3 linked regions of the Xenopus tropicalis genome follow. The protein of the gene in region 3 purifies or fractionates together with the protein of the main gene of each other region. This does not show direct contact. Links are inferred from orthologs where the notes say so. Each region holds a gene or a part of one and is shown on either strand. Other genes may lie near its edges.

Region 1 (4,032 bases), on a different chromosome or scaffold from region 3:
GGATCCTAACACTTTTTTTTTTTAGGTGTTACAGTCTGAACTCTACAGCCCAAGTCACAAGGGTGCTCAGGAAGCTGTGTTGCTGCTCATTTACCCCTAAGGCTAATGCCAGAAGTGGCGTTTTTACGCTGCGTATTTTCTCCGCCTAAAAACGCCACACAGCCCCTGACTATGGCGTTTTTCAGCCTAGTACTGGTGACGCAGCAAATCCCGTTTCCATGGTGCTAATAGTGCGAAATAGTAAAAACGCCGCCTATTTCCGCTAGGTCTGGCAGCTGCCTTTGTGTATACATAGGAATAGCTTGCTGTGCAAATACTGGCGTATTTCGGCCAACGCTTGAAAAATCCGTGCTAAGGCGTTTTGTATGGTATTTACGCATAGTGTGGTTTCCATCGAGACTGTTTAAGTTATTTCTACGGATGATGATATCGTGCGTTTTTCAGCCGCCGAGAGAATTAGAAAATACGCAGCGTAAAAACGCCACGTGTGGCATCAGCCTAAGAGCATGCAGCCATTTGCAGAGTCCTCCTTACCTGGGCTAGGTATTTCTGGGGCTGAAGAATGAGGGGATTTGGGGAGCAATTATAGGACAAGAGAGAGATGGACCTTTGGGAAGGGCATCATAAAGGGACTCTGGAATTCCACCCAAATATCTATGGGAAGCCCAGGGGCTTGGTGATTGGCTCATTCAGAGTTAACCCTGTGCTTGTTGATGTGAAAGCCTTTGGCTAGTTGCAGCCTGGGCAAGCCTCAGCTGGAGGATCGCTCCTAGGTCTCTCACAGTTCCAAGCAGGTGTCCCCCAACCCCTGTGAATAGGAGGCATTTTCTCTATAGCCCCCCACTGAGTAAAGTTTCACACATTCTCTCACATGCAAGGAAAGGCACAAAGTCCGCCCGGGTACCGTAACCAATAACAACCAATAAGGTTTGCTTTTACAGGAGGCAAGTAAAAGGTCATTTTTGATTGGTTGGTACAAGTGGGACCCAGCGCACACCTTGCACCTTTCTCAGCTCCATTGATTGTAAGATTCCCAGCCATAGCCATGTCAGAGGGAAATACTACAGATACTCAGCCCCGGGGGGGTGCCAGTAGTGTAATCAGCATGATTAAACCCGATTAAACCCGATTAATCCCCGCAAGCCTATTCCCATTGCCGCATCTCACAAACACTCCGCCAAGCAGACACACACCAGCCGGTACTATAGCCCCGCCTTTCCTTCATTCCCCGCCCCTAAACCATTCCGCCCGGCTGGTGACGTCACTTCCGGAATCTCCGGCTCTCCATTCTCTTTAGTGTTTGCCGTGTCCGAGTCTCCCCCCTTCCTCTTTCCGCCGGTCTCCTGGTACCGAGCCCCCGCTTCACTACATGGACTAGGGTGTGAGCGCCTTCCCTTCCACTCCCGGGCACACAGCAGGGACGAAGACAGAGAGAAGGTGAGCCAGCGGGGCTGGGTGGGAGCGGGGCTGGGTGGGAGCAGGCCCACTGGCAGGGGGGAGGGAGCGCCTACTGGGCAGGGACTTTGCAAAGCGCTGGGGCGTCTGGGAAATTGTTGGTCCCCGACTTGGATACTTCTTCTGTACCCACCCCAGTCTCTGTCTCACCCTCCACCCATATTCCTGCCCATTGTGCCCTTTGCACCCATACACCTGCTCACTATGCCCACTGAGCCCAAATCCCTGCCCACTGTGCCCTCAGCGCCCAAACCCCTGCCCACTGTGCCCTCAGTGCCCAAACCCCTGCCCACTGCGCCCTCAGCGCCCAAACCCCTGCCCACTGCGCCCTCAGCGCCCAAACCCCTGCCCACTGCGCCCTCAGCGCTCAAACCCCTGCCCACTGCGCCCTCAGCGCCCAAACCCCTGCCCACTGGGCCCTCAGCGCCCAAACCCCTACCCACTGCGCCCTCAGCGCCCAAACCCCTACCCACTGTGCCCTCAGCGCCCAAACCCCTGCCCACCGCGCCATCAGCGCCCAAACCCCTGCCCACTGCGCCCTCAGCGCCCAAACCCCTGCCCACTGCGCCCTCAGCGCCCAAACCCCTGCCCACTGCGCCCTCAGCGCCCAAACCCCTGCCCACTGCGCCCTCAGCGCCCAAACCCCTGCCCACTGCGCCCTCAGCGCCCAAACCCCTGCCCACTGCGCCCTCAGCGCCCAAACCCCTGCCCACTGCGCCCTCAGCGCCCAAACCCCTGCCCACTGCGCCCTCAGCGCCCAAACCCCTGCCCACTGCGCCCTCAGCGCCCAAACCCCTGCCCACTGCGCCCAAACCCCTGCCCACTGCGCCCTCAGCGCCCAAACCCCTGCCCACTGCGCCCTCAGCACCCAAACCCGCGCCCTCAGCGCCCAAACCCCTGCCCACTGCGCCCTCAGCGCCCAAACCCCTGCCCACTGCGCCCTCAGCGCCCAAACCCCTGCACACTGGGCCCTTTGTACCTAGTGCACCCCTGCCCTCACATCCTTCCCCAGTGGCCCCTCTATAGACCCTCTCAATGTTCTTGCTCCCATTGTGCTCCCTGCACCCACATCCTCCATCTGCAGTGTCTCTTGTTATACAGTTCCAATATGCTTTTTAGATGCCGCCCCTGTCTGTGCATTATTACAGTATTCGTACCCATGAGCTTTTTCCCTTCATACATATTTATTGTGCCCCCCGTACTGTCCATACCCTGTGTGCCTCCTGCTCTCTACATACCCACTGTGCCATTAAAGCTGCTGCCCCCCTCTGTACCTATCCAGTGTGCCCTCTGAACCAACATACCTGTGTAATGCGCCTCCATATTTAGTAAACTCTTTGCACCCCTATTCCAAATACCCCACTTTATAGTGCGTCTCACCTAGTGAGTGTGTCCGGTTCTGTGCTCCCCATTTCCGACACCCACTGCACACATTTCCCTGAGGTGGTGCGTTACATTATACGCTACATGCACAGCAATTACCATATTAAAGGCAAAGTAGAACCACCTCATACAAACACACAGTGATCTGTCAGCGCGAGGACAAGCTCCTGTGTAGTTCTGCCCTATGGGTGCCCTTCTACTGCTTTACCCAGACTTATAGGGGATATGAACCCAAAATGACACAATGCACAATTTGCTTAATTAACAAAAATGCCATTCTAAGCCACTTTCCAATATACATTCTTTAAAACCATTGTCAAGTTCTTTGCAAATGTAATTGCTAATAATGCATTTCTCTGTCCCATTCTGCACTGTAGCAGAAGTTCTTCTCAGCTGGTCTGGGTCAAAAGTCAGAATCAGCCGAGCAGAGAATATAAACAGCCAGACACACACTGCTTTCACTAGCACCTATATTTAGAGAACTTCAGAACAACTGAAGCTTGGTGTTTCATGTGTATTGGAAAGTATTTACATTTTCTATCCTTAAGCAAAAAGGCAACATATATAAAAAAAAGCAATTGGATAATTGCAAACTTCCCCTTGCTTTTTAAACATTGGGTAAGGGGACCTCTCGTCACCGCTTGCACAGTGTTTCCCATTGCAGCAACTCGCAGTGCCGCTGTGCTTATGGCTACATAGGCAGAACCCTTGCTCCCAAATGTATCTTTTTTTTTTTGTTGTTAATATAAAAAAGGGGAAATTCACGGTACAGTTTAGTTTTAGTTTGCAATCTTCCCTATTTTTATGAATTTTGGAAATCAACTCACTGACCCCCTCAGACAAAACCGTGTCTGAATAATCGTAATTTAATTTAACAAAAAAAAAAAAATTAGCAAAGACAACTTATGAGTTTTATAGTTGCTGGGGGTTGTTGACCCTAGAAACCAGATGGCTGTTTCTCCCAGCAGCGGTGGAAGAGGGCAAAATTTGATATAAATATGGCAGCAGGGCAGGGAAACGTTTCCAAAAAGTATACGTGAAACCATGGTAGCGGATTTCATGACAGAGGCTTGCGAGTACAACCACCAATAACCAATCAGATCCCTGCTTTCACTTTCTAACTTGGAGTAAGCTGATTGCTAATTGGTTGTAAAGTAATGGTGCATTTGGGTTTGTTAGACAGAAATCCTACAC
Region 2 (3,940 bases), on a different chromosome or scaffold from region 3:
TCCAGCTGCAGAACTGGGGAAGGGCTACATTGTTTGAAGAGTCAGAACCAGAAGTACAGCCCTATTTCCTGCCAATTAGCGGGCACAGATGCCATTTACCCACAGGGTACGGGATCCTGGATACATCAGCATCTCCCAATGGGGTATCACTATCAGCCAAGTGTGTGTGGGGCTCCTCCAGTCTCCTGCAGTTCCACTTCTCACCTCAGGGGGGGGGATAATAACACCCAGGTTGCTAAGGGTATCGCTTGGCACCGGTTATAAAGAGAGTTGGGACAAGGAGGGGGGATGGGGGGGCTACTCCATATAATATTGGGCAGGTTTGGGCAAATGTATAGAGATTTATATAAATGTGGAGCAGAAGGGGAGGAGAGCACCCCAAGAGCCCAGGGGCAGGTAGGTAGGTGGGCGCTGGGGATCCAGAAGGTCAGACTGTAGTGCGGGGGGGGGGCTTCTCTCACGAGGGGCAGGAAAGCTTAGCATGGCCGTTCCCTCTGGGGGCAGGGGCATTTGTGCTGACAGGGGAGAACCATTCATTGGGCAAAGCGCAGGGACCCAGCAGGGAGCAGGCCCAGAGCACATGGGGGCCCGAGGGTCAGCCAATAGGCATGGGCACACAGATATAACCCCCCCAGCTGCAGTTGGTATAACCCTGGTGTATCTCTCTGCACTGCCTGTTCTGGAACGTACCATTGTAATGGCAGGGGTAGGTCCTGCCCAAACCCCACTAACTGGCCAGTGATTAGGATGAGGTGGCACGGCCCCTCTCTATGCTGTGAGTGCCAGCAGCTGTGGGCACCGGTGCCAGCATCATAAAGCAGTTCCACTGGCACCTTGGCACTGGGCCACAGGCACATACTCACACCCAGGCAGTGTGCCAGCGGCCCAAATGGGCAGGGTTATACATATTTGATAGGGTACATCAGCCATAGCTCAGATTGGGATGCAGACAAAGGGCCAATAAGAGTTCCCGGCAAGTTGCCTCATTTCTGGCAGGTTTCCATGGATACCCACCCTCATGCCCAGCTATGGCTCCTATTATACCCAAAGGGTACCCTGTGTTGCCAATGTCAGGTTCTCTATAGCAACCAGCGTTCAACTAGATACGGTGACTGGACTACAACTCCCAGCATCCCCCACAGCAGCTGGAGATCAGCCACTGTACAAGGCCTGGTACTACTACAGGCTCCCTGTACCCCACTAATGTCATACAGTATAAACCCATGCTGCTAGTGGCCTACAACTCCCAGCATCCCCCAAGGCGGCTAGTGCCCCCAGACATGATATTAGAGGCAGGGCACCCTAATCCTGATGTTGGACTACAACTCCCAGCATCCCCCAAGGCAGCTAGGGCCCCAAGCATGATATTAGAGGCAGGGCACCCTAATCCTGATGTTGGACTACAACTCCCAGCATCCCCCAAGGCGGCTAGGGCCCCAAGCATGATATTAGAGGCAGGGCACCCTAATCCTGATGTTGGACTACAACTCCCAGCATCCCCCAAGGCAGCTAGGGCCCCAGTCATGATGATATTAGAGGCAGGGCACCCTAATCCTGATGTTGGACTACAATTCCCAGCATCCCCCAAGGCAGCTAGGGCCCCAGACATGATATTAGAGGCAGGGCACCCTAATCCTGATGTTGGACTACAATTCCCAGCATCCCCCAAGGCGGCTAGGGCCCCAAGCATGATATTAGAGGCAGGGCACCCTAATCCTGATGTTGGACTACAACTCCCAGCATCCCCCAAGGCGGCTAGGGCCCCAAGCATGATATTAGAGGCAGGGCACCCTAATCCTGATGTTGGACTACAACTCCCAGCATCCCCCAAGGCGGCTAGGGCCCCAAGCATGATATTAGAGGCAGGGCACCCTAATCCTGATGTTGGACTACAACTCCCAGCATCCCCCAAGGCAGCTAGGGCCCCAGTCATGATGATATTAGAGGCAGGGCACCCTAATCCTGATGTTGGACTACAATTCCCAGCATCCCCCAAGGCAGCTAGGGCCCCAGACATGATATTAGAGGCAGGGGATCCTAATCCAGATGTTGGACTACAACTCCCAGCATCCCCCAAGGCAGCTAGGGCCCCAGACATGATGATATTAGAGGCAGGGCACCCTAATCCTGATGTTGGACTACAATTCCCAGCATCCCCCACAGCAGCTGGAGATCAGCCACTGTACAAGGCCTGGTACTACTGCAGACTCCCTGTACCCCACTAATGTCATACAGTATAAACCCATGCTGCTAGTGGCCTACAATTCCCAGCATCCCCCAGGGCAGCTAGGGCCCCAGACATGATGATATTAGAGGCAGGGCACCCTAATCCTGATGTTGGACTACAACTCCCAGCATCCCCCAAGGCAGCCAGAGGTGACCCACTGGAAAAGACAAGGCTCTCCCGGCAGGTTTCCTGTAGGTCAGTCCCGGCAGGCAGGGTACCATTCCCAGCAGATAACACTGGGGCCGGCTGTTGGCAGGGAATGCTGGGAGTTGTAGTCCTGCCGGTAGGTGCCGCTGTGAGGGGTGCATGACACAGCAGGATGAGGAGGCCGCAGTAGGCCGCACACCCCGGGTCCCGCTGTGCCAGCCAATGGGCGGAGCTCCCGGCGGCGGCGTCCCACCGGCACCCACAGACCCCCCTCAGCCCGCTCCCCGGTAACTCACTCGGATCCGGAAGCCATGCTCGGTGTCCGGCCTGTGCCGCTCCGCTGCCGGTAAGGAGAAACTGAGCGCTCGGTTCCTGCCGCTTATCAGGTGTTTCGGTCCCGTCCCGCCTGTGAGTCCCGCTGTTCCCTCTCGCTGCTCCGCTCGCTGCCCCGCTGTCCGTTCTCTCGCTTTCACTGTGTGACTGACCGAGGGAAAGGAGGAGGAGCGCCGGCGGCTGGGCGGGGCTTACACACACAGGAGGGTAAAGTGCAGCATCACTGTCCGCCGTCTGCGCTTGCGTCTTAATACTGCAACCAATCAGCGGGGCCCAGAACTGACGGGTGATGAGCAAGGAATGATGGGATATAGGCCACGCCTCTAGCGTCCTACCCGGCCGCCGCTTCTGATTGGTCCGTAAAGATGAAGGCGCACTGCAATGAAGGAGCCTACCGCGTCTGTCCTACTAACTCCTAGCAACTGCGCGTCTGGCCGACTGGGATTGGTCAAAAAACGGAAAAGGGGGCGTGTCACCAGGAAGAAGCCGCACAAAAGAGAAACAAATTCTGAGGTTGGCCGACTGTCAGTCAACTCGCTGAGCGGCGTGACAGGGCAATTTACTCACAACAGATGGAATATGGCGCCCAGCCACATACAATAAATGAAGTTTGGCCATTGTAATGTGATATGGCCCCTGGGCCTGTAGCCATGCACCCACTAGTAGCTTCACCCATAAGGAGTAATACATGTGCCCCAACTGTACTACATGTTAGCCCCTCCCCCTGCAGTTCCTGGGCTACAAGCTCTCAATCTATTGCCCCTCACATGGCAGTGATCGCTCATTATCTGCCCTGTCTGTAAGGCAATGCATTGTGGGTAATTTCCCCTACCTGCCCAGAGCTGAGGTAACATTGACCCACAAAGTGCCATAATATCACACATTGGGCAGGCCTGGCACTGGGAGAGAAGCTGGCACACAGGGGGTTAATGGTTCAGTTTATTGTGGGGAACTGATGGTGTTTTGCTGGACTAACTGGCAGTAAGTTACCTGGTGGGAATTGTTTCTATTCATATAAACATTCCTTCCAATCCTTAAAGCCATTAAAGGGGAAATATGTCCCCATTCTTTACACATGGAACAAGGTACATAAACATAGGAATATATGTTTGTTTGTTTTTAAACAGATATACCTAAAGGGTGGCCATACACCTCCCCAAACAAGTGGCTCTTCTCCTGATATTCCCATCTAAGGTGCCCAATATCGGGTTAATTCAATCGTTTGGCCCTAGG
Region 3 (3,851 bases):
AATATTCATCTTAATCACATTCAAGAAAACTGGCAAAAATGACAATTTAAGGAGCATTAACCTCTGACAAAATTCTTCATAGAGAGAAGAGAATGATGCTGCAATCTACCAACATTGGCACATAACATGTAATACAAATAATAATAATACAAGTACAAAAATAAATGCACCTCACCTCTGGTGCCAATACAAATGTCTGCATGAATCGACGCATAGGCTGCCTGTTGTTCGACAATTCTCCCATGACTTGCACCACTACGCCATCATTCAGAGTGGCGTGCGCATCAACATGGCGGATCTTTGTGCGGCAATCTTTGAAATTCAAAGACATTACTTTTTTGTGGATGTCCTGCAGAAAAGGAGAAATGATTAGCACAATTTCTTGTGATCTGACTTTGAAATGGTTATGACTTCAAGATATACTTACAGTCTGCCCATAAACAGCCTCTGCAGGTTTTCCATTGGTGTCCAAGCCACCATGAACATAGGAAGAACTTTTTCCATAAAACCTAACAAAAAAAAAAAAGGGAATTCCTTTAAAGGAAAACTATACTCCCAGAACGAATATTTAACCATAACCAACAGATCATATGTGGCCTATTAAAGAAACTTAAACTGATAACGTCGTTTGGCAGATAAAGACACTCTCTGCAGAGTTTTTAGTGATGACAGCCCCCTGGGCAATGAGCCAGGGGGCTGTCATGTTGGCCCTGCGATCATCGTGTCTGCTTCTTGCTCCCAGCTTCCTGGATCCCATAAAACTATATATATTTGGTATTGGCACGTTCAGGAGACATGGGACTTTCCAAATCAGTTGTATTTTTGTGCATAAAATTTTTGTTTCTGGTATGTGTTTATATTATGAAAAATATGATTTTTTTAAATTTTTAGACATTAAGACTAAAAGTTCCCCCGAGGAAAGGCCCCTAAAGTGAAACAGTGCAAAATGTTAAACTGTCTGGCAATACAAGTTCCTCTTTGACCAAAACGGCTGGCAGTGAAAGGGTTAAAAAACTAATAGAAAAATCTGATGTGTAAACTATATGAAAAATTTGCCATCCAACAAGCCACACCCTGTCTGAGGAAAAAGTGCATGCGGCATCTTAATCCGACAAGAAAATATAATTGTGTCTGACAGACTTGTTTCTCATTAAAACACATTGATGGTGAGATGTAGATGCAGGAACAAAACACACCATCTGTCTGAACCGGTTTACATACAGCATGAAAAATGTGCTGAAAAACTCCCCCTCGGCTTATACTCGAGTCGATATACTCGGACACTGTGCTGTTGCGCACGGGGTGGGGTGGGGGGACAGCACAGTGATACTTAGTATGCAGCGTGGATGGGTGCACACACATGGATGGCACGCATGCTGGCATAAACTGAAGCAGGTAATCGGGTAATTGAACACTATCTAAAATTATTTCAATTGTACTTTTTAAGATGATTTTCTAGCCATGGGGCCCTTGCCTTACACCCCAAAAAACAGCCTCTCAGACTCTGCTTGTAACAATTCTAAAGTAGATTTCCATAGCAAAGAGAGAAGTGCGTGCTAAATCAGTATCAAAAAGACTACATACTTTCAAGCACAAGTATGTAGTCTTCTTGATACTGATTATTTTGCGATAAAAGGAGGTTAATCAGAAATCAATGGCATGATTACAAGAAGGCTGTTATTGTGGCATAAACTTAAAGGCAGGAGGGTCAAAGGGTCCTCCATCCACCTTTCCCTAATCACCTTTTCTAATCTGCAGCTGCCAACATGATATATTTATGAAGAGTTCACAGAGGGTCACGCCGAGTGTCCTTTTATTAATTATTTGATTATTGAAACTTAGCAGTAGCGACTGCATTTCCCACCCTAGGCTTATACTCGAGTCAATACGTTTTTCCAGTTCTTAGGTAAAATTAGGTACCTCGGCTTATATTCGGATTGGCTTATACTCGAGTATATACGGTAAATAAATAAGAATAAAAAAAAAATAAAGGTAAAGCTCTACTGTGTAAAACATACCTGTGGAGAAAGTCTGGTGCCTGGTTAAGCAGAGTATAATACTGCCTCACAAATTCCCGCCCGACAAGCAGGGGACTTGGCTTCTCCATCACCATTTCTTTGGTCAACTGAAATCTAAACAAAAATATTAAAAATATAATTTAGGCCAGGTCTGGGGGGAAAAATGGTTTACAAAATGCAAAAATATAATCAAAGCAAATAATATGAAGAAAGCGATTACCATTACTGGCACAACTATAAGGTCTCTGGCCAAACCAAAATACATTCAGTGATTTCATCAAGAAGCCTTGGGCCATCAGATCAGCAAAGTTTAACGCATTGCCAAAGTGCACAACATACCAATGGATTGGCATGACTGAAAGCACTACACAAGCCTTCCAAATCACTTTCATTTTTTGGCGTTACTGTTCCTTTAAGCAAGGGGCATTTTTAGACGGTCCGTCATCTGTTTTAGTGTAGATTTACCTTAGAAGACAAATCTCATGTGCAAGCACGCTGCCAGCACAACGGTAAAACGTTTGCAGACACATAAAAGGTTAAAAGACGAGTCCACACCTGTTAAATTCTATTTTTTTTTTTTTTACAACAAAACTGTTTTAAATCATTGATAACTGAAACAGCTAAAAATTATATGGGCTAATGTTCTATTAGCTATAAAAATGTTATGGCAATAGGTAACTTAAAAGTTGCATGACAAAAGTTTTCTTTTAAGGGACGATACAGCTTAACAAGACTGCACAGGCTTAAGCAACACATTCCATTAGTGTTTTTAAATAGGGAGGGCTAACATTAGAAGTTGCAACACAGCTTCTAACTTAAATGAATACAAGAAGCCTAATGAGCTTATTACAGTTTGTGACTTCAGCATCTCTAAGCCTGCTTGTCACATGGCTCAGATTAATTACTATGTAACCATGCAATAATGGTTGAATTGTTTCTAGCAACAGCATACAAAGACAACAAAATTCCTCTAAAATAACGCCAAGGAAGTCAGGTCAAAAAAGGTGGAAAACACTAAAGCAAAATAAAATAAGATAAGCTACATTACACATTGAAAGCTTAGCCAAGACAAGCATGACTATTAATGGCAACTGGTAATATCTCCTGCTCACATTTCTTAAGACTGCTAGGAATTCGGCGAAAGCCTATACAAATGCAAATTCAAGGAGAAGGCTGGAAAGCTAAATTAAACTACATGTTATAGTTTCTCTAAGAAGGGGCATATTAGGAAAAATGCAGGAAAATTTCTGTAATATGATTAGTAAAATATCCAAGAGAAATCATGATTGACAGTCGAGTATGTGTGATGAAGTCAGCATAACCAATTGCCACCGAACAGCCCCAGGACAATATAACACTGTGGCTGTAATTTTAACATGAAGTTTCTTGAGAAAAGCCCTTCTAAAAATGATAGTTTAAGTGAAGGCACACCTATAGAGATGTATGTAAATAAAATATGGATAATCTCTATTAACCACTTAGCCACAGGGCTGCACAGCAAGCATTTCCTTCAGTATTGTTATAGCTGCAGTGCTTGAGATACTGCTGCCCGGCTCATACACCTCTCCAACCGCTCCTCCTCTGCCATGCCGCTCTGCCAATCCCTGCACTGGCTTCCCCTACCATCCAGGATAAAATTCAAGCTATTGACCCTCACATTTAAAGCAGTCCATAACTCTGCCCCACCCTACATCTCTGAACTCATCTCTAGGTACCATCCAACCCGCTTGTTACGCTCCTCTACTGACCTGCTCCTCAACTCCTCTCTCATTCCCTCCTCACACGCTCGCATTCAAGACTTTGCAAGGGCTGCCCCCCTTCTCTGGAATTCGC

Evidence for each region. The genes of interacting proteins can lie anywhere in the genome.
Region 1: the proteins of g3bp1 (region 3) and stau1 purify together in Homo sapiens (affinity purification with mass spectrometry; 3 studies listed by BioGRID and IntAct, with this or other methods). This does not show direct contact. The link is inferred for Xenopus tropicalis from reciprocal best matches to the Homo sapiens genes G3BP1 and STAU1.
Region 2: the proteins of g3bp1 (region 3) and vcp purify together in Homo sapiens (affinity purification with mass spectrometry; 3 studies listed by BioGRID, with this or other methods). This does not show direct contact. The link is inferred for Xenopus tropicalis from reciprocal best matches to the Homo sapiens genes G3BP1 and VCP.

What each region holds. Positions count from the first base shown.
Region 1 is NC_030686.2:38,141,391-38,145,422, forward strand, and holds the start of stau1 (double-stranded RNA-binding protein Staufen homolog 1), read left to right. Parts: upstream 1-1,232; 5' UTR 1,233-1,437; intron 1,438-4,032. UniProt on the Homo sapiens protein: Binds double-stranded RNA (regardless of the sequence) and tubulin.
Region 2 is NC_030677.2:212,825,784-212,829,723, forward strand, and holds the start of vcp (transitional endoplasmic reticulum ATPase), read right to left. Parts: upstream 2,801-3,940; 5' UTR 2,688-2,800; coding exon 2,671-2,687; intron 1-2,670. UniProt on the Homo sapiens protein: Necessary for the fragmentation of Golgi stacks during mitosis and for their reassembly after mitosis. Involved in the formation of the transitional endoplasmic reticulum (tER).
Region 3 is NC_030679.2:16,830,807-16,834,657, forward strand, and holds part of g3bp1 (ras GTPase-activating protein-binding protein 1), read right to left. Parts: intron 2,133-3,851; coding exon of another isoform or gene 2,114-2,132; coding exon 2,019-2,113; intron 510-2,018; coding exon 428-509; intron 350-427; coding exon 176-349; intron 1-175. UniProt on the Homo sapiens protein: Protein involved in various processes, such as stress granule formation and innate immunity. Plays an essential role in stress granule formation.